4 linked regions of the Schizosaccharomyces pombe genome follow. The gene in region 1 interacts genetically with each later gene. Each region holds a gene or a part of one and is shown in the gene's direction. Other genes may lie near its edges.

The links.
Region 2: mutations in nrm1 (region 1) and exo5 together harm fitness more than expected from each alone (negative genetic interaction), as found in Schizosaccharomyces pombe (one large-scale study listed by BioGRID).
Region 3: mutations in nrm1 (region 1) and ura3 together harm fitness more than expected from each alone (negative genetic interaction), as found in Schizosaccharomyces pombe (one large-scale study listed by BioGRID).
Region 4: mutations in nrm1 (region 1) and sro7 together harm fitness more than expected from each alone (negative genetic interaction), as found in Schizosaccharomyces pombe (one large-scale study listed by BioGRID).

What each region holds. Positions count from the first base shown.
Region 1 is NC_003423.3:4,284,081-4,289,083, forward strand, and holds nrm1 (protein nrm1), read left to right. Parts: upstream 1-1,863; 5' UTR 1,864-1,961; coding exon 1,962-2,990; 3' UTR 2,991-3,280; coding exon of another isoform or gene 3,281-4,148; 3' UTR 4,149-4,206; coding exon of another isoform or gene 4,207-4,296; 3' UTR 4,297-4,338; coding exon of another isoform or gene 4,339-4,353; 3' UTR 4,354-4,394; downstream 4,395-5,003. Other genes in the region: oga1 (protein stm1), read left to right, coding at 144-517, 580-1,042; tad1 (tRNA specific adenosine deaminase), read right to left, coding at 3,281-4,148, 4,207-4,296, 4,339-4,353, 4,395-4,588; nucleoporin Rae1, read left to right, coding at 4,865-4,936, 4,987-5,003. UniProt on the Schizosaccharomyces pombe protein: Negative regulatory component of the MBF complex involved in cell-cycle-dependent transcription.
Region 2 is NC_003423.3:2,770,929-2,774,962, forward strand, and holds exo5 (single-strand DNA-specific 5'-3' exodeoxyribonuclease Exo5), read left to right. Parts: upstream 1-1,924; 5' UTR 1,925-1,955; coding exon 1,956-2,118; exon of another isoform or gene 2,119-2,173; coding exon 2,174-2,238; exon of another isoform or gene 2,239-2,388; coding exon 2,389-3,165; intron 3,166-3,294; coding exon 3,295-3,519; downstream 3,520-4,034. Other genes in the region: INCENP-like protein Pic1, read left to right, coding at 1-1,442; SPOM_SPBC685.03 (uncharacterized protein), read left to right, coding at 3,769-4,034.
Region 3 is NC_003424.3:1,384,806-1,388,908, reverse strand, and holds ura3 (mitochondrial dihydroorotate dehydrogenase Ura3), read left to right. Parts: upstream 1-1,763; 5' UTR 1,764-2,067; coding exon 2,068-3,399; 3' UTR 3,400-3,552; downstream 3,553-4,103. Other genes in the region: ATP-dependent DNA replication ligase Cdc17, read right to left, coding at 1-272, 335-842, 883-965; disulfide relay system thiol oxidase subunit Mia40, read left to right, coding at 3,823-4,103. UniProt on the Schizosaccharomyces pombe protein: In the de novo pyrimidine biosynthesis pathway, catalyzes the stereospecific oxidation of (S)-dihydroorotate to orotate with reduction of flavin and the transfer of electrons to ubiquinone, which is part of the respiratory chain.
Region 4 is NC_003424.3:615,958-623,210, forward strand, and holds sro7 (Lgl family protein), read left to right. Parts: upstream 1-1,866; 5' UTR 1,867-1,886; coding exon 1,887-1,988; exon of another isoform or gene 1,989-2,035; coding exon 2,036-2,465; exon of another isoform or gene 2,466-2,513; coding exon 2,514-4,419; exon of another isoform or gene 4,420-4,462; coding exon 4,463-5,039; 3' UTR 5,040-5,231; coding exon of another isoform or gene 5,232-5,895; 3' UTR 5,896-6,031; coding exon of another isoform or gene 6,032-6,234; 3' UTR 6,235-6,746; downstream 6,747-7,253. Other genes in the region: MEK kinase (MEKK) Mkh1, read right to left, coding at 1-891; SSU-rRNA maturation protein Tsr3, read right to left, coding at 5,232-5,895, 6,032-6,234.

The sequences.
Region 1 (5,003 bases):
ACTTTATAGAAGTATAGCCTGTATAAAGACGCTCAAGTATTAAAAAATATAAATTCACATTTCGTTCATTATTCTTTAGAGTGTTAGCTCTGCAGACTCTGCTGATTTTTATTTTGTTTTCGCAAGTAGTAACCAAATTATAGAACCTCTTTGACCTCCTCGGAGAGGAGACTCCCGCAGCTACTACTACCGAGAAGAAAACCGCTGCTTCTCGTGACAAAAAGCGCTCCGACAGCCCTCCTGTCCCCCGCGAATTAGTCGCTCAAAGCACCACCTCTAGGAAGCGTGACCCTAACCAACCCACTCCTCGTGAGCGTACCGTTAATAAGAAGGCAGACCAACCTCGCAGACGCCGTCAAGCTCCTCAAGGAAACGAAGCCTTTGCTCGTGAAGGCAAAGAAGCTCGTGCTAACAACGCTGCCCATCCTGTGGATGCCACTGGCGCCCCCTCCAACCGCCGCAATGCTCGTGCTCGCCGTGGTCGTGAATTTGACCGCCATAGCCAAACTGGTAGAGTGTATGTGTTTTATTTTTCTACATGTGAATGCCAAATTATATAATTGCTAACCATTATTTTAGTGATACCAAGAAGGCTACTGAACGTGGCTGGGGTGATCTCGTAAACTCTGCTGCTAACCCTGATGTTGCAGAGAACGAAGGTAACACTCCCTCTGGAGCCCAAACTCCTGCTGCCGAGGAGGAAAATGTTAAGACTCTTGATGAATATCTGTCTGAACGCAAGTCCGCCGCAAAGCCTGTTGGTCGTACTGTTGAGAAACTTGAAAACGCTACTAAGGTCGAGAAGAGTGCCCCCGAAGAATTGTTTGCCTCTCTTAAGAAGAGCGCTTCTCAAAAGAAGTCTGCTGCCAAGGAAAGCAAGCCAAAGAAGGTTCTTCTTGATATCGAGCAAACTTTTACTGCTCGTCCTGCTCGCGGTGGCCGTCCTAACCGTGCTCCCCGTCGTGGTCCTTCAGAAACTGCCTCAAAAACCCAACAGGCACCTCCCACCCTTTCTGAGACTGACTTTCCCGCTCTTGCATAGATGAACTGGTGACTTGAGAGTAGCCTATTGATGTGGAGCGTTTGATTGGTCTTGGATGAAATTTCGTTGTCAAGCGTATGTGGAAAGGTGTGTGTTATCTTACAGATCCCTTTTTGTTTATTTTCCATTGAGCATCATTCGGGTTTCTAGGTTATTCAGTGATTCTTATCATTAAAGCGGTCTAAGGTGTATTCTGTGGTTGCATTCCCTTTTTTGATCCACATTTTGCGATGAATTGACTAAATATTTTTCAAAATGGTCGAATACTAGTGTGTAAAAAAAATTTCATTCTCGTATCTATTCACAACTAATATTAAGAAGATGCGCGTTTAAATCGTCTACCGACTGTTATCTTGATATAACGTATCTTATTTTTAATCTGTAAATATCAGCCTTAGTAATTGTGTACATAACAAAAGCATATTTCAGTGTACGGTAGGTCTGCCTGTGCAATTCACAAATACTCCATTTATTATTCCAATTGATTTTGTCATTTTCAAATGTCGTTTGCAGGGATATTGAAACGGACGTTGAATAAAGCCTTCTTAACCTTGTAAAATGACTATAGGAAAGTTATGAACGAGTTTGTGTATCGGTAACATAACAGGTAAATCACTCTTCATAATGCAAATTGCGGTTTACTTTTTATAGCATCATTTTTGATAGCTATTTAAAAAATTTGAAAGTTAATATAATTAATAAACTCGAGGATATGAGCAAACTGATAAAACGCGCTATATCGCGAATTCGCGCTTTAAAGGGCGTCGCGTCGCGTTGCGTTGGACACCGCTTATATACGTGCCACAAGTACGCAACAATCGACGAGTCGCAAAAAAACTGTCTCTGATTATTACTTTTCCTTCTGATTCTCTGCTACTAGGAATCTTTATATTGGTTTCCGTTTAGAAAAAATAACAAGATGGATAGGTCAATGGAACCATTGACCCCATCTCGTTTAAACACTTTGGGGGAAAGGCCAACAAACGAAGTGTATGAGTATGGAAAAGGAAAAAATGTGCAACATTTATTTCCTATAACACCGATGCAGAGACCATTAGGAAAAGAGAATGCGGCTCCAGGGACGATTTCACCGATTGCGGTTCGATCTCGAAATGTGCGTGCAGTAGAAATTGCAGATGAAAATGCATGTGAAGAGCCAGTCTTAAAAATAAAATCTGTTAGTAGTACGGAGAGTGAAGAGGAAAAAGAATCTTCTACTGAGATAGGAGAGAAACAGGAAAAAGAAACACATTTAGAACCCAAGACACCAGTACAAACCAATACCAACAATAATCACTTAGACGACATTCAGTGTTGTGCTAAAAACTTACGCTTACGTCTTGAATTGGCTATGTATAAAGTACAAGTTAATCAAACATTTTCCCCTCTGCAAGATCTTCCCATTGTCGCTAAAACGAAGCTTCACAATTGTCCAAACTCTGAACCTGTTACCTCCATATGGAACCAGAGATCGCTTTCTTCTGGAAAGCCTCCGTCCTTACATCTTTCAGGGAATCGCAGGCTTTCCATGGGATCTCCCACGAAGTCGATATATGATCAGAATGGTTTGACAACGCCAAGACCGATCGGTTCTGATGATCTAACACATATGTATGATCCTTATACCTCTCCTTTACGCACCCCTTCTCGTACGCTATCACGCTCCTCCTCTCATTATCTGTGGGTTCGTCATGGTAAATTGACACGTAGCGTATCTCTTTTACAACATAAAACGCCTAGACGCATTCGGCCAAAATCACTTTCTAAAAGCAATTCTACACCGTTAAAGCATTTAAGCGCTCAGAAACCAAATTCAAATTACTATACTGGCCCGCCTACTCCAGTATCCATATCCAACACTCCAGAAAACATTCATCCATCATCTTCCGAAGTAAGGCGTATTGCAAGTCACAGCAAGCAATTTTCAGACTATGGTTTAATTCGATGATCCTTCTTTTTACATTTTAAACCGAGTTATGGAATAATGTTATGAGATGATTTTTATAATACTTTAATTACTCTAGTTGTCGTTCATTTCCTTTCTGACAGATTTCTATATGTGAATTATTTTGAAATGCAAAAAATAACTTTTAATTCCTCGCAACACGTTCTTTTATTTCTTACTTGTTATGTAACAAGTCAGTCGTTAATAAAATTATTATCGCTGGTAAAGCCATCCTTCGTTTTATTTAATGCCTTAATTCATACGTACATCTTATATTGAGGTTTCTAGATTTCTTATATCCATTGAAATTCGTTCCCTCCGTTTGGGATCCAGTTTTTTAAGATATTACGAAGAATTTGCTTTTGCTGGCAACGTTTGATGTTGAGTTTCTTCCATTCATAATAGTTTTTTTCATTAGTCAACGATTGACTTAATTGATGCAGCAAATTCATCATACTCTTTCTACATATTAATGTTTGAGACTTTTCAACGTCTTTAGCTTTTGTTCCCGCTTTAATACCATTATGTATCACTTGAGTACACTGCATTTTATCACCGATCCATATCAAAACGTTTGTACTAGTTGCAGTTTTTTCTGCTTGGTTCAACGGCCGTGAATATAAAAAATTTTCATCCGTTTCCAGCACGGTAAAAGGATGAAAGTAATAAGGATTATCCTTTTCTCCAAATTCAGCAAGTGGTGCGCACCGACCAAAGGGTCCAAATGCTCTGTCAATTGCTGATTTAACTATCACTTTTTTATAAAGCACTACACATGATAAATAGATGGGCTCACAAATGAGGCTGGTCTGGGAATTCAAAATAGAAAGATATTGTTTTGCAGCTAATTTATCAGTACAGCTTTTGCTCCAGCTTACTGGGGCATCAGGTCTCCCCGGTTTAGTACGCACGATTCCAAGTAGTCCAAAATCCGCCCTCCCACGCATTAATTTCTCTGAATCAACTGTTAAGTTCCATGGTTTGTTGTTTTCCAAGCGGCTAGCTAGTAGCTCCATACTCGCATCTCCGCAAGGACATTCGGAAACGTACAGATGTATCAGAAGATTGCTGTTTAGAGTAAATTTACCATTATCAGCAACTTCAAGAAGCCACGTATCTTTCTTTGATTCTTTAATTAAAATACAATGTTCGAGAAGTAATCTTAATTCTTTTATTAGTAACGAATACTAACAAATATACAAATAATTGTATATATTACCTGTTAAAACATCTTAATGCCAGAATCTCAGCATGACAATCATGTAATACACTACCCAGTTGTTCATTCTTAATGATGCCAGCTGGCGTACTAAATTGACTTGTTAATGAAAAAAATCAATTGGTAGCATACCATTTTACACCTGTTCTTTAGATGTCAGTTTACCGATATTAATAAAAAAGACGTACGCTAGACAAACACAAATAAATTCGTTCTCCATCTTTTTCTGAATGACAACACCGGCTAAAGTAGTCCATTCACGCACCCCATTTGCTCTTATGATCGGTTTGCCATGACGGGCTAGTTCATCAAATTTGTTAAGGACTGCAAGAGCTATTAAATTCCCAACATTACTGTTTCTATCTAGGGTAAATTCTTCCATTTTCTAATGAATTTCATAAATCCATACTTTATATTCAATTGTATTAAGAAAAGAGTACTTCGGGAGCGTAAATCCTGTGATATGTTGTGACCGTAATTAAATACTAATATTTTGTTTCCAACTGTTAATTAATAACAATTGGGTATTCCTAATAGCAAAGCTTATTCGCTGTAAGTGATTGAAGTACAAATGTTGGCAAAAGCATTTGTGGTAGTGTGTTGAAGCAAGTAATTTTGTCTGCATACGAGTAATTTACCAACTACCACAACTATTAGAATGTCACTTTTTGGACAGGCTACAACATCTACAGTATCTAATGCAACCGGTGACTTAAAAAAGGATGTGGAGGTTTGTTAATTTTACATATACGCTACTTACATTTGCTAATTACACGATAGGTTGCCCAACCCCCGGA
Region 2 (4,034 bases), 1.5 Mb from region 1:
ACGCTTTGAAATCGGATGCAAACGAAAATACGGACTCTTCTTTGCCGCCTTCCAAGAAGGAATTTATTGAAAAATCTCTGCACAAGTTATCTGAACCATTGCATGATGATTCTCGTCAAAATTCTGATCACAACTTTGCTCCGCATTCACGTCCGATTGCAATTCGTGTGGCCACAGCCTCTCAACGCGAACTTGAGCAAACTGAAAAGCGAAAAGCAAAAAATGGAGCAGCAAATGCTTCAAATATGGAAAGCCGCTCTTCTGAAAACGAAACTCATCGCTTCAAAAAGTTCTATGGTAAAGAACGAGAGTTATCAAACAACGAATTTCCAAGTCGTCAGACCAAAACTGTCACATCAGCCAATTCATCTAACATTAGGGATATGGAACATACTATTTCCGATAAACCTCGTTCTGAACCAGATGCTATACCATCAAGTAAAAGCATGCACTCAAATAAGCCATTTGAGGAAAAATCAGAAAAACCAACGACCAAAAGACTTGTTACTAACCCATCAAATGTGAATGCTTCATGGCATTCAAATATGTTAAAAAGACAAGAAGATTTACGAAAGAAGAAACCGTTAACCGACAACGGTGCAACTTCAAGGCATATGCTAAAATCTGGGTTAACACGCGTCACGTCGAAACCCACTCAAAGGTTTGCGAATGAGCTAGCTGAGGACATGTCATTGGCATTTCATTCAACTATTCCAAAAAAAATGGAGCCTGACTCAGTTACTTCTGTAACTCAGCCTTCTGTTGGTAGTTTGAGAAACAACTTCGATATAGGGACCACTAATAGTCAGAATGAAGATCGAAAAAAGAAGATAGCTGCACAAAAAAATAAGAATCCCGTACATGGTAATGTCGGTCTTACGAATCAACATGGATTCAAAACAATGCATCACAACGTCAACCCTTTTACTAAGCAGAATGGTATTATGAAAGGAAAGCTTCCATCTTCTAGTACTTCACAATCAAATAAACCTTTTATTGAAAAAGCTTCTATGCACGCTCCAGCTAAAGGTAGGAACTCGTCTATGCAGGAGCCCTCTTCTAAATCACCGTTACTGAAAACGCCTAAGTCGAATTATTTTCCTGGATATGGATCCCTATCGCCTAACACGTCTGTGGAATTACCAGAAATAAATAGCGATTATTCGGATGATTCAGATGATGAAGGTAATAAGAAAAAGGTAAATTTACCATCGTGGGCTGAATCACCTGAGTTACGAGAGCAATTAAAACGACAACAAAAGTGGGATCCAGACAAAATTTTCGGTATGATTAAACCTCTGCAAATGGATGAGTATTTCCGATCGAAGGATCGATCGAAGATTCGATTTCGACCAAGAAGCTCTTCTGCTGACTGGTCATCTCAAGATCGTTTGACCCAAGCAGAAATTGATAACTATAAGAAAAACATGGGTTTTTTATAGAGTTCTGGATTTTTGAAATGAATTTTGTATATTAAAGAACTGGGAAATTAATAGAGAAATACTTTAATTTATCTTATGAAACAATTTGCATAGAGTTAGATGACAAAATTAAATTAGATTAAAGGTTTTTGAATCTACTAATAACAATTATAATGAAATAGACCTCCATCTTAGACATTGAAGCATCGCTGATAATTAGTTTTTGTGCCGCAATAACATTAGCCATTAACAAACGTAGTTTGACATTGCCAGAAACTTAATCTACTTGTTCAAAGTTTTAATTTCTTTGAACGAAAAGAAACTGTGAAAGTACTTCTATCATCAATAGTTTAGCACAGTTTACATTGCTAGTTTTGGTTACACTAGACATTTACGTTCCACCATTTTAATAAAACTAGTGTAAAGCTTTTTTACCGTCTGGTTGGTTACTTTAAAAAAAAGAATTATTCTATTAAATGTGTGAACTAACGTAACCCGCACCTGAATAAATCATCCTAACGAAACATTAAGTCTATGGAAGAATATGAAGATTTTGAGATGGAAGATTTGAGCGAATTAGTCTCTTATATGGACTATCTTGAAACACAAAGATTGACTATTAGCCAATTGGATTATTCTTTGAGCATTCCACCACAATTGCTCGTAAGCAGGGAAATTTCTAAACTAGAGGACGAAGGTACGATATATTTCACTCAAGTCATGAACCAGACAAGCTAATAATCAACGTTCAGTTTGTGAAATGTTAAAAGAAAGTTCATTATTCCAACTGTTTCGAAAACACAAAGGTTATTTAAATGTAAGGTCTTTCTGAAGTTTGTGAATGATTTTTTATGGTTTTGTCAACAGATTTATAATAGCGGATTGAGACAATGCTATTCTTAGCATAATCATTTACAAGCATTAATCAATTGCATGTTTTTCATTTACTGACAGAACCTATTATTAGGTTACTGACCTTGTTTTACCTTTGTGGTGTGAAGTGCAACATGAATACTATTTATTGAGAAGAATTAAAAAAAAGACCCCGAAGATGGAACGCGGAATTAAGCTGCATCAAATACTTGAGTATGAAACCTCCCCTCCATCAGAACGTCGAGTGCTTGATCGGACATCCAAGGAGGAACCATGGGCATTACGATTATTAAGGCAATTAGAAGGTATTATGTTATTACAAAAAAATGGAATTACAAGAGAGTTTCCAATCTGGGGATATTACAAAGAGTCCTCAATTTTTGGCATTATTGATGAAATAAGTCTAAACAACCCTTCAAAAAGCAATTTTAATAGTGACATCCGCAATTACTTCAATTTCAAAATGTACGATTTAAGTTTTGTTGACAATAAAACTCGGTTTTCTTCCAGAAAGCCTGGAGCTTCACAAATTCTTAGTTCCAAAGTACAACTAATGTATTACGTTCATCTCTTTTTAAATTATTTCCCCTCTCTAGGAGAAAAACAACAAAGCATTTTTAGGGATATTTCTCCTACATATTCTAACAGACTTCATTCTCAAAGTCACTGGTGGAACATGTTTTTGAGCCAACTATCGCTGGACGGCACCAAGGACTTGGGGCCGAAATTTTTAGAGCAATCAATTCTTTCAATTCCCGATATTCCTGAAGATGTCTTTGCAGGTCATAACTCGCTAAATGGACTTTATGCACTCGTATTTGCTTCAGCTAAGAAGTTGCATTTACGTCTTACTGATGACAATCTTACCATTGTAAGTGACACAACCAATTAACTCGAAAATTATTTCGTTATCATTACAACTTTTAATTTTTTTTACGATGATTAGAATCCTTTTCGTAATATGATTGTCTGAACTATCGTTACTAACATCTTTTACTAGGCATACAGGAATGACAAAACAGGAGAAGTGGTATACAAAGACAAATTCTCTTTTAGCAATAAATTATTAGAAGCTTCCTATACTAAGGCTTATCAATTTTGGCACAATTTAAGGGAGCCTGAAGGCGTTCCTGCAGAGGAAGTCTACAAATGCCGAAGTTGTGAATTTCAGAAAGAATGTTGGTGGCTCAAAAAGAAACAGTATTACCCTCTTTCAAGTCCGTAATTGGGAATAATGACAGTTGAAAAGATTCCCAGAACATAGTTGGTCATTGGCATCCTATATGTTTAGCAACGATTTTCTTCCATCATATTTTGATAGGGCTGCTAGGTTGTTGAAGTCATCAACTTTTAATTTTTTTATCAATCTTTAAGAGGCAATTGAAATCATTTCTATGTAATCGATATAATTTGTGTTAAATCTCTATTTAAAAGAGCATGGTTTTTTTATTGCATTTTCTAGATCTCGGTGACGATGCAATTCTTTGGTAGCTTGTTTGTTTCTCTCCTAGGTGCCGCGGGTCTAGCTAATGCTCTACCATCACCAGGCATTCCTAGTAATGACAAAGATTTGGCCATTTATCCTCCTGTCGATGCCAATAATACTACTTCTCAAGATGTCGTTATAGACGTAGTTCTATTTAACGGTACTGAATGGATTTCCTCTCGCGAGAGATTTTCACTTGTTTCACCAGGATGGGCAAGCATTTACGGTCCATCGGGTCAGAGTTCTGTTGGGTC
Region 3 (4,103 bases), on another chromosome or scaffold:
TTGATCACTCCAATTTTTCTATTTTGGGATTGGTTTCCGCTCATTTGAGCAATTTTTTTTAATGAGTCAAATAAAAATGGAATTGTCAGCGCTGCAGGTTTAAACATAGTGGGTTGATTTTGACGGGATGTTTGAGCTACAAGACCAAGATCACCAACTTTGTGAAACGATAGTTTAATCTGTTGAAGCGTTTGCCCTGTAGACTCTCCAATAGCCTTCATTATAATGCTTTCGCCAATTCCTAGCTCTAGTCCCGAGTAATCTGGGCCCAACTAATGTAAAAAAAGACGTTAGTACTGAGAAGGAGAAATCCTTTAAAACCAAACGTTCATACCTTATTGATACTTAAATACACACAGGCCAGTAAATCGCTGGGATGGTCGCGAAGAATTCCAAAAAAGTAAGTCCCCATTATATCAATGATTTCCAACCGTTTGCTAGTATTCTCTATTTTTGTGAATGCTTTTACCATTTCAGCAAATGTTGCATGACCTTTTAACTTATCATTGCGAGCATTGGACTCTAACGGTGGTTCTTTGATTGGCAAAGGTATTGGAGTAGATGCCCCAGAATCGTTGTTACTAGATACGGCATCTGAAGAAGAGGAGGATGAACCTAAAGTCTTTTGCTTTTTTGCCTCAGACACAATATTATTTTCACGCTCAACATTTTGAGTTCCAGTGTCGTCGTGGTTGTTGTGTTTCGACTCGTCGACTAATTTCACTGATTCGACCTTTCTCTTTTCGCTTGTGCTTCTCCCATCAACATTTTTGGAATCAGAAGACGATTGAGAAACCTCCACGTGCTCGCTTTTGTGCGAAGCAGAAGAAATGAAGAAGTTGCTATATGGGTTAGTCAACGTCTGTCTTCTATCTAACAAACCTAATGTCTGACTGCCTTGTCGACATCCGTATGTACTGATTGACTTGTTTAAAACGAGGAATTTGCGAAAATACTGTTCGCATAACAATCAAGTCAACGAGTAAAGAATTTCATAAGATTTGACAATAGTGAGGGTACACCTGAAGAACAAGTAACACGTGTACGATATTTGTAGTTTAAGGACAGTGAAAACGAAACCATTTTTTTCTAAGTCTATATAGATGAAATTAATTTTTATGATTATAACAGGATAATATAAAAGCTATTTATCATTGATATAGTATGAGTGTTCCTTGTCTCATTCATAAATACTATTGACTTAATCAACTCTCTCCCAACGCTCTGTACATCATAAATACAGCTAGAAAAAATGAGAAGTTGAATTGTATAGAAATGCTTTAGTCATACCAGAAATGAACAATTGCCTGTATCAACGAACGTAATAGAAACAATTTGGAAATACATTGCTAGAAGTTTATCAACTAGATTCTAACCATTTAAAAAAAAAAGAAATTTAAATCAACAAAAATTAAAATAAATTCCTAATAGGCTTATTCGCTAATGTGTAGTGGTTTGTAGTTTTTTTGCAAAAAGCTGTTCGCACTTGTTTTTCAAGTGGATTTTGTCCTTAAATTTTTAAAATTTTTCTTTTTCAAATTTTTTATGAAATGTTAATTCGAAAGCAAAAACTATCATAAAATTGTTTATAACCATCGCTTTATTTACAAAACTCATAGTCAAATTTCGACAGCCCGGCATTACTAAAAAAACATGTTACCTGTTACAGGTAACATTCAATATAAACATTCAATTTTTGATTTTTGTTCTTTCTCAGAGAATATACCTCTGCTAGCACTTGGAGAAATTTTTTCGGTTCTGAAATCTTTGTTTTCGTTGAAATCTTATTAGAACCAAGTTCTCCATTTTATATAAATTAACACTTCTTGTCTCTAGGTGGATAAAGAAACGGATTGACGATTCTGTTCTGATCCTTAAATCCATATTTTTATTTTTTGGTTCTGTTTATTTTTTCTTGGGTTTGTTGTGTTTGGAAAAAAACTGGTGTTTAAATATATTAAGCATAAACTATTATAAAACTTCATTTTATTATTTTATCATTCATATTTTTTTCAATTTCGTTTTGAAAATTTTTTATTTAAGCCGAATTCTATTAAAAATACTAAAATGTATCAACGATCTTTGTTTCGCGGTGTCGCTCAGGGTTTAAAGCGCTCCTCTGTACGTTTTCAATCTACCAGCTCTGGCTCTTCAAATGGCAATTTCTTTCTCCGTCATTGGAAGCTTTTGAGTGTTATTGGTAGTTTTACTGCCGGCGTTGCCATTTACGACATGTCCGATGTTCGTAGTTTTATCCATGGCCGCATTGAAATGCCTCTCTTTCATGCTTTCACCACTCCTGAGTTTTCTCATCGTGTCGCCATTCTCGCTGCCTCTTGGGGTATAACACCGAAGGATCGTGTAGCTGATGATCCATCTCTTGCCGTTGAAGTTTGGGGTAAGAAATTTTGCAATCCCATTGGTCTAGCTGCTGGTTTCGATAAACAAGCCGATGCTATCTCAGGTTTGTTGAACTTCGGGTTTTCCTATCTTGAAATTGGCTCGGTCACACCTAAACCTCAACCTGGTAATCCTAAACCACGCTATTTCCGCCTTAAGCCTGATTTGTCTGTAATCAATCGTTACGGTTTTAATTCTATCGGCCATGATGCCATCCTTGCTAAGATTCAAAAGCGCGTTCGCAAATACATTGCTAAGACATCTCCTCAACTATTAAAACAGTTTGATGCAAATCCCGCTTCTTGCACTGATCCCGCTGTCCTTGGCGTACCTCGTAGTTTAATTCCTAACAAGTTCCTTGGTATCAATTTAGGCAAGAATAAGAACGGTAACGAGATTGAGGATTATGTTGAAGGTGTTCGTACCTTTGGTAACTTCGCTGACATTCTTGTCATTAACGTTTCCTCTCCTAATACCCCTGGTCTTCGTAACCTACAAAAGAAATCTGCCCTCTCAACTTTATTGACTGCTGTTGTCAGTGAGCGCAATAAATTGAACTCTCCTCATCCTCCCGTACTTGTAAAAATTGCACCTGATTTGAACGAAGAAGAACTCACGGACATTGCCGATGTCCTCAAAAAGTGCAAGATTGACGGTGTGATCGTTGGTAATACTACCGTTCAACGCCCTAAGACCCTCAAATCAACTAGCCATGTTGAAGAGACGGGTGGTCTTTCTGGACCTCCTCTCAAACCTATCGCATTAAATACTCTTCGCACACTTCGTAAGCATCTTTCTTCCGATATTCCCATCATCGGCTGTGGTGGTATTTCTTCTGGCAAAGATGCTATTGAGTATGCTCGTGCTGGTGCAACTATGGTTCAAGTTTATACTGCTTTGGGATATGATGGTCCTGTAATTGCTCACAAGATTAAGCAAGAGATTCTTGCCGAGCTTAAGGGCAAACGTTGGGTTGACATAATTGGCAAGGAAGAATAGATTGGGATGTCAGTATATTTCTTTTAAAGAAAAAATTCAGTGTCGTTTACTGGTACATTATTATAGTAAAAATTTAACATATTATAGAAAATAATACTCACGTTCTTCTAATTAAATATTATAAATGAATTACCTTTTGTTTTGCATACCTAAGTTTGCTTGTGAAACTATTATGTCGCTAGTTTAATTCTATTATGAAATTAGTCATTCAGGCATTTCTTAGTAATCTCGTAAATCCTGCCAGTCTTGCTTGTCTTACATTTGTGAATACCTATTTACTTAAATCTGATTTAAAAAACATGCAAACTTATATAAACTTAGAATGAATGACAAAGTTACGTTCTTGTAAGATCGTCGCCGCTTTCTGACCATTACGCAGACATTAGAAGTTCAGAGCTCAACTTCCCATAAATCAAAAAAACCATGTTTGCTAAAAACTTACTTTTCAGATTTCCAAAATGTATAAGGATTAACGGTTACAATAATATGAGAAGGTCTCTACTGCAGAGAAATGGATTTCAAGCAGGCATTTGTCGAAAATTTGGTACTGCAACCAAAACTGATGTATGGAAAGGCCGTTTTTTGCCTATTGTATCTGGCGTTGCAGCTGCTTCTTTGACTGCTGGATATTTACTTGGAAAAAACACTTCAAATGCATCATCGAGTCAAGATAATGACCATCCTGTTGTAGGCGAACATGTCCA
Region 4 (7,253 bases), on another chromosome or scaffold:
AACAAATGACTTCTTTTTGGATATTAAACCAATTTGACTTTCTAAACGATGAATACGAGGTACCCACTCACCTTGATCCAAAGACGCGTCTAATGTTTTCACATTTGAAGAAGCTAAATGGAATGGGTTCGAATTTGAAGAAGGGCAATCTTTAGTTTTATCCTTGTCACGAGAAAACCCAGGTACCCGGAAACGACGGAGAAAGCTAGTTTGTTTTTCTTTATGTTCGGATACAGGTTGTTTCGACAATGTTTTTTTATTAATGTTTCTGCTGTCATCGTTAATTATTGAAGTGACAGTTCCTTTGTAAGCGTGTAAGTTTATAGGAGAGCCTTCCAAATTTAAAGAGGTTGTTTGATGGGAGTTTTTTCCTGTGCTCAATAGCTCATTGTTGTCGACTACTGATCCACCGAAGCCACCAAACACGTTCACATTGCTATCAGGAACACTCTGAAAGCTTTTGAGGGACGAATTTTGATTTGAAGAGCGGAAACCAGAGTTAGTTTCTGTAAAAACGTCATCCGAACTATCTTTGGCGCTGTAAGTTAATGTTTCGTAAGACGAGTTTTTGCTAGGTACGCGAGTCGAAGAAGGTGCTAAAAGTGTTTTGCGAATACAGCTACTCAATTGGATGGCAGACTCCTTGCTCAATTTATTTTTAAAGGCGAATTCCTCGGCTTTTGATTGATCGGCCAAATTGATAAATAAATCCATTTCGATTCGACTTTTAATAAAAACGTCTTCCCATTCTTTGTTAAATTTGTATAGTTTTAAAAACTGAAGTACACTGTTAAGTGACCAATCTTGCTTATCGACATTCTGAAGATGAAGAGACTGTTCAAACCGTTCTTCCAAAGAGCCTGATGACTGCGATCCGATATCGGCAGCCATATACCCAGAACAGTATTAGTTACTTTGAAAAGAATTCAAGATAAAAAACCTTTTTTTTGTCAAACGAATTGGAGATTGCTGCTTAAGTAGTTTATGATTAAAAAAATTAAGATTCGGCTGAAACGAGTGAACTAATTTGCAAAAGACAGACTTGGGATGTTAGTAATAGCCCAATTTCTTGCAGGTAAATAAAATATTAAGAAAGGAGAGAAATGTTGAATCACTAGTACTCAGGGTTTAAAGATATTGCAAAAAGACTTCCCATGTGTTTTGACATGCAGCCCGTATGATACCGCCAATTCCACAGAAGCCTGTTAGAAAATAATAGAGAATTAAAAATAGATACTTTATCAATGTAAAACTGATATTTCGATTCTATAAACCTTCACGGGTAAACCAAGCAATCTCCAGCTTGGTGTCTGGCTTTAGGCCCGCTCAAAATCGCTTGCGGTTTGACTAGTGAATGATGCAAAGTCGAATTCAGTGCTATAAGGATAAAATTAGAAGTCTCATTATTTGTCAGCAATACTACATTACGCTATGATACACTACGTTGTGTATCACTATATGTCATATGTTGGAATACTAGCTAAGATCCGTTTATTGATAATCACGGGTAACTATCCATCTATATACTAGTTACCAGTTGATAACAACTATTTAGAAATATTATAAATAGCGTTACAACTGAACCTCGTTCCTCAGTTCAGTTATGAGCTATATTAGTGATAGGTAACATTATAACACAGTTAATACAATACTCAGTTGCTACTCATACAACCTGTTTATTGTAATATAATAGGTTACAAGGAAAACTCACCGCAGTTTACGTATCCTTAAATCAGATACCAAACTGCGTAGCTTACATTATTATTGGTTTAACGGCACAAGACGTTATCCAAAAATAGCGTTCTCTAACACGAGTTGAGCGTGAGTTTGTATATGCTACGAGGGTATAACATGATTAGTATATTTATACCAAGAATTGGGAAAATATGAGCTTTTTTAAAAAAAAGCTAAGTAAGGGAAAAGAAATTTTATCCAAATCCAATTTGAAGACCCATACGTCTTCAAATGCTTCACTATCGATAGACGACGTAAGTAGGGAAGCAATGCTTGTTGAATGTTTAATAACAAAGATTAGTTGAATCGATTTGGGTTTTCCTTAAATCCAGTATTATGGTGTTTAGACCATCAACAAGGCTTACTAGCTATTGTATCTAGTACTAATCGGATATACATTTACGGTAAACAGCATGTCCAGAGTGTGATAGTTCCAGACTGTTCAACCATTGTCCATATAGCCCTTTGTGCGGCGTATTTGATTGTAATTGACTCTCGAAATACGGTCTTAAGCTATCCCTTGATGAAACATCGTGACCTTTCAAAACCAGCTGCCACTTACTTTCTCAAGCAAAAAGTTACATGTACCGTAACGGATCCTACTATTGATTGGGTTTTTTTTGGAATGAGTGATGGCTCCGTTGTGCCATGGGATGTTACTAGACATTGCCTTGGAAAATTCAAAGTTCCAAATTTGTATGTCCCAAGACACGAGGAATGGCGAATGATGGGTACGTTGAGGTCATTGTTGTTTATTTGAATTTATTACTAATTTTCAGGCTACTCTTATGCACCAGTTCCTGGAAAGCTATCCCCAGTTGTAAGCGTTCAGATTCACCCGAAGGATCTCGGTGTGATTTTGATTGCATATCCGGATGGCGTTGTTTTGTACTCAATAAGGACTGACGAAGTTATACGCTTTTATGAATTGGAGTATGCACCAGGTAGTACAGCTGCAGTTTTATCACCCCATAATTATCGAAGACCTATAGTCAAAGGGATAGAGTGGAGTCCTTGGGGTGATCACTTTGTTAGTTACTATACTGATTCGACTTTTGCATTCTGGGATGTGGATCAAGAATATCCTGTACAAGTCCGAAATTTTGTCGATTCAAACATACACACGTATACCCCCATGCAGAGAAATCCTCCTAAGACGGAGCTTGAGCCCATTAGGTCTATGAGGTGGTGTTGTTGTGAAGACCCAACAGTTTCATTTATTTTGATGTTAGGTGGTTTGCCGAAAGAAGCACCGGTAAAGGGAATTTCATTGTTCAGTTATCGAAATCTCCCTGCCAAAAAGGATGTTGAAACATTTGCGGAATTTTTCGCAAATCCAAACTCACAACGCTTTTTTCCTTTTATTGACATCCCCCCTGTACGTGATATGCTGGTGATTCCTTCTAGCTCACCACATTACAATGGATCTCATAATCCCAAGAATCTTCTCCTTCTTTCGGAAGACAACTCGTTATCGCTGCTCGACATTTCTACTGGAAATATTTCAAACATGAGCCTTTCTATTCCCCCCTCTTTATGCTTCCTTGCTTCAGATTTTCGAGTTATAGCATTTCAAACTGTAACAAAAAAAGTTTGGAATCAAATTGAAGATACTATTTCCGTTAATTCACATTACTCCTGTCTTTTTGGCGGATCTCCTAGTCCCGGCTATCTTAAGAAATTAGATGAGCGTAATCTACTTATAACATCGACTGGTCTTAGTTTATCGATTTGGGATATATCTCAGGGTTTTATGAATCCATCTCTCTGCGTAAATTTGGATTTCTCTTCTGTAATGCGAAAGCATCTCACGCCTTCAGCTTTTATAACTACTGCCTCTTTTTCCACTTATAATCCAGAATTCAGTTGTGCTGATAGTTTTGGGCGTGTCATTGTTTGCAAAAGGAAAAATCATAAAGAAAATTTACCAGCTCAGCTCGCTAACGGAATATATCGTTTGGACGATACCTTAGTTCTAGAGGGAACATTACATGCTCAATATTATATTGATCTTAAACGAGGAAGAGTAACATTGAACCAAATGAGCAATATTGGTTTTGTTTGTATAGGATATCAGGATGGTGGAATTACAATCATCGACATGCGTGGCCCCCATATACTGTGTAACACCAGCATCTCGGAGCTTGGATTAGAGAGAAGAGGAAAACCTGATCCCGATTTTCTTACGAGTGCCGAGTTTGTCGTTATGAACCCTAAAGGAAGCCCTTCCTCAATCTACGTAGTCACAGGAACATATAGAGGGATGACACTTTTATTCCGTATAGACCCTTCCTCTTCAGGGCGCTTTTCTGCTTATTTTGAATCATCTCGACAATTAGATATTAAGAACATTTATAAAATATGCTCTTTAACTCAAGATGGCCAGATCGCGACAGCCACTGGATCCTCATTACAAAGCGTTGGATATCCCTTACCACAGGAAGTTTTCCTCGTGTATATTGGCGATTCAGGAATTTCTGTTTTTAATAAAATTAATAATCAAGTGGGTAACCTGGATTGGAGAAAACCTGTTTGTTGTCGAGCAGCTCTTGTGCTTTCTACTGTTTCCAAACACATGGGTTCCGTAGTTTGCGTAAATTCTGATCTTTCGGTGAATTGGTATTCTCTCCCAAACCTTCGTGAGGAACGTAAAATGCAACTTCCATTGGATATTGATAAAAATAGGTAAGGTGTTTACTTGAAATGAATTTGCTAACTATTCCATTAGGCTCAAAGAAGGTGATATTCTAGGCAATGGGGATTATATTTTCCCAACGTTAGGAGCACATGAATTAGCCTTTGGCTGTGTTTTAGGAAGTGGGAGAACATTGGCGAATTTGGCACCCATGATGCTTATTACTCACAATGCTTCCCATGTACCGCCAAGACCTAGTAAATCCTTGTGGAATTGGTTACTGGGCGAACAGTCTACATCTGCTGAAGAGCTAGATATCTTACTCGGAGGTGAAAACAGGGCTGAAAGTAAAGTGCATACTTTAGAGACTCCTAAAGTTATTTCAGCTCGCCCAGCAGAATCAGTTAAGCAACCACTGACCCCGGTTCCTTCCATGACTTCTCAGTCTGCTCAAAGTTATATCCCTCCAAGAAGGCAACAACAACAGAAAGGATTCTTCGCTCAAATAAACGACCATTTAGCCCAACGGGGGAATATGTTAGGAGGAATTGAAAATACTATGGACGATTTAGAAGAGATGAGCGCTGAATGGGCAAACGAAATTAAGGACTCTTTGGCTGGAACGAAGAAAGATTTGATTCTTTCAGGCTTAAAAAGCTATATACCTTAGAAAGTTATATTTTTTTTTACTTGCATTTATCAGGTTATGATTGTTTATGAAACTTATTGAAAGCTTACCATATTTATTAATTTTGCATCTCTCTATACAATATTACCTTACATGGATATGTAAAGCACAAAAAACAGGTGATAAATAATAGACAAACTATAAATTATATAAAAATCCAAAAGTATATATCTTTTAGGTATCAGTAGAATGAACTTTCATTCTCACGATTTTTCGCCAGACTTCATCTTCATCCACATCGTTGGCTTGCAGATTAGTTAGAGTCTCTTCATTATCATCTGTTGGAATAGAGTGTTCGTCATGAGCCAATGAAGCTTCGGACGGTTCGTGTAATGGTGACCGAGATTCTTCAGAGTTTGAATGTGTTGAACTGGTGTTTAATGTTGGTTTGTGATTTAAATTTCCAGCTGACCAAATGTCGTCAGTAGTTTGATTTCTTTGTTCTTGGTAAGAAGCTTCCATTTCCTCCAAGTATTTTTTTTCTTTTTCTTGAATATCTTGAGCATCATGACATTGAGCATAAATATCGAGAAGTTCTTCGTTTACCTCAAAAAAAGAATGTCCCCATTTGAAATTATCCATTAAAAGTCTCGCCTCATTAGGATATCCGACAATATACATGCAAGCTGCCAGAGCTTCAGCACAATTTAATCGCCAAGGCCTACCATAGTTAACTGGATTGGAGGCCACTAAATATGGAAGCAACCGCTCACAGCGACCACCAATTCTAGAAAAAGGGATTTCCTCTATGCGAGCCCAAGAGCATTCAACTACACTAGCACCTCCATTATCAAAGTACTCCTTATCGGCTGGAGAAACAGGAACTTTTCCGTTTGGTCTGCAGCGTTAAAATCTGATACATAGCAAAATGGTAAAAAAATATTAATAATTAGTCTTAGTGCCCTTGCGCTGTATACAGCAAACATTCGACAAGAGTTTAAGATCGGGTTTCTTTCTAACGGTTCTCAACTTACGTTATTACAACTCCTCGAAACTTCTGTCCAATTCTAAGGTTTCGTACGCATCCTAGACGCTCTAATCGTTTACCAGAACAGGCATTTGGATTACAATGTCCAAAATCCCACATTGCTAAGGGTAATGGAAATTTGGATGCCTTGTTTGAACCCTTGAAGCCATCTTTGGCATTAGAACGACGATTAGAACTCCTTGGGCCCATATCCAAATATCGATGTTGAAAAGTGACACGCTGTTTGATGTAGGAAATCCGCCATATTTGGTGTGGGTGTTGTTATCAATCAATAATGCACTGTACCAATGCCGTGTTAAAAGTAATCATCTTCAGTAGCAATCGAGTATTAAGATGAGAGGAAATCTTTATCTATATACAATTCGACTACTTAATCAATTGACCGTCCCTCCTTCTTTTCAGAAAAATATTTCCTTACATTCATTAAAGATATGCTATTGAAAAGTGGATATTGCCCAAAAGTGGTTAATGTTCTCACTCTTGAGCGAGACAATGCAATGACATTAGTTTTTTGCATTTCTTGGCAAATCCAGGAAAAAGCCTCGCGGTAATATAAGAATGGTCAATTCTCGTAAAATGACCTTGTATGGCTGTTAATACTTTCATAGTTGTTCAAATAGAACTGTTACACAAAACTCGTTTACACACAATGTATTTTCCTCATGCTTTTTCAACGATATACAATTGTACAATTGTTCTCCTCGATCCATTTTAAAAATTTTGATACAAAATGAATAGTGAAAGTAATAGCAGAGCTACGTTTTCTTGTCAGTGTTTAATTATGGAACGTAACAACAGTGTTAGTTTCATTCTTCTTACACTTATCAGTTTCTGTGCTCGATAGTAAATTGTTTCATTCATGTAAAAATAATTAAATTCAATTGGATTTTAATTTTCAATTCGACACTAGCTACAGCAATAAACTGCGGATCAAAAATATGGCATGTAGCATATATTTGAAGAATTTTAGCAAGTTTTGGGAACTTGTTCTTTACATAAAGCTTTTCAGCTGAACCAGATATAACCGGGTTCTTATGGTGGTTTTAATCTTTACTCTACTATCGCATACCTTATTTGACTTAGAACTCGTTTGGTCTCTTGTTGGTAAACCAAGCCTCCCAACTTCCTTGACTGAAGAGTATACCTCAGACTTTTGCACAATTTTGTTTTTGGATTTTTTCTTTTTGTTTTAATTTTATTGGCTCTTC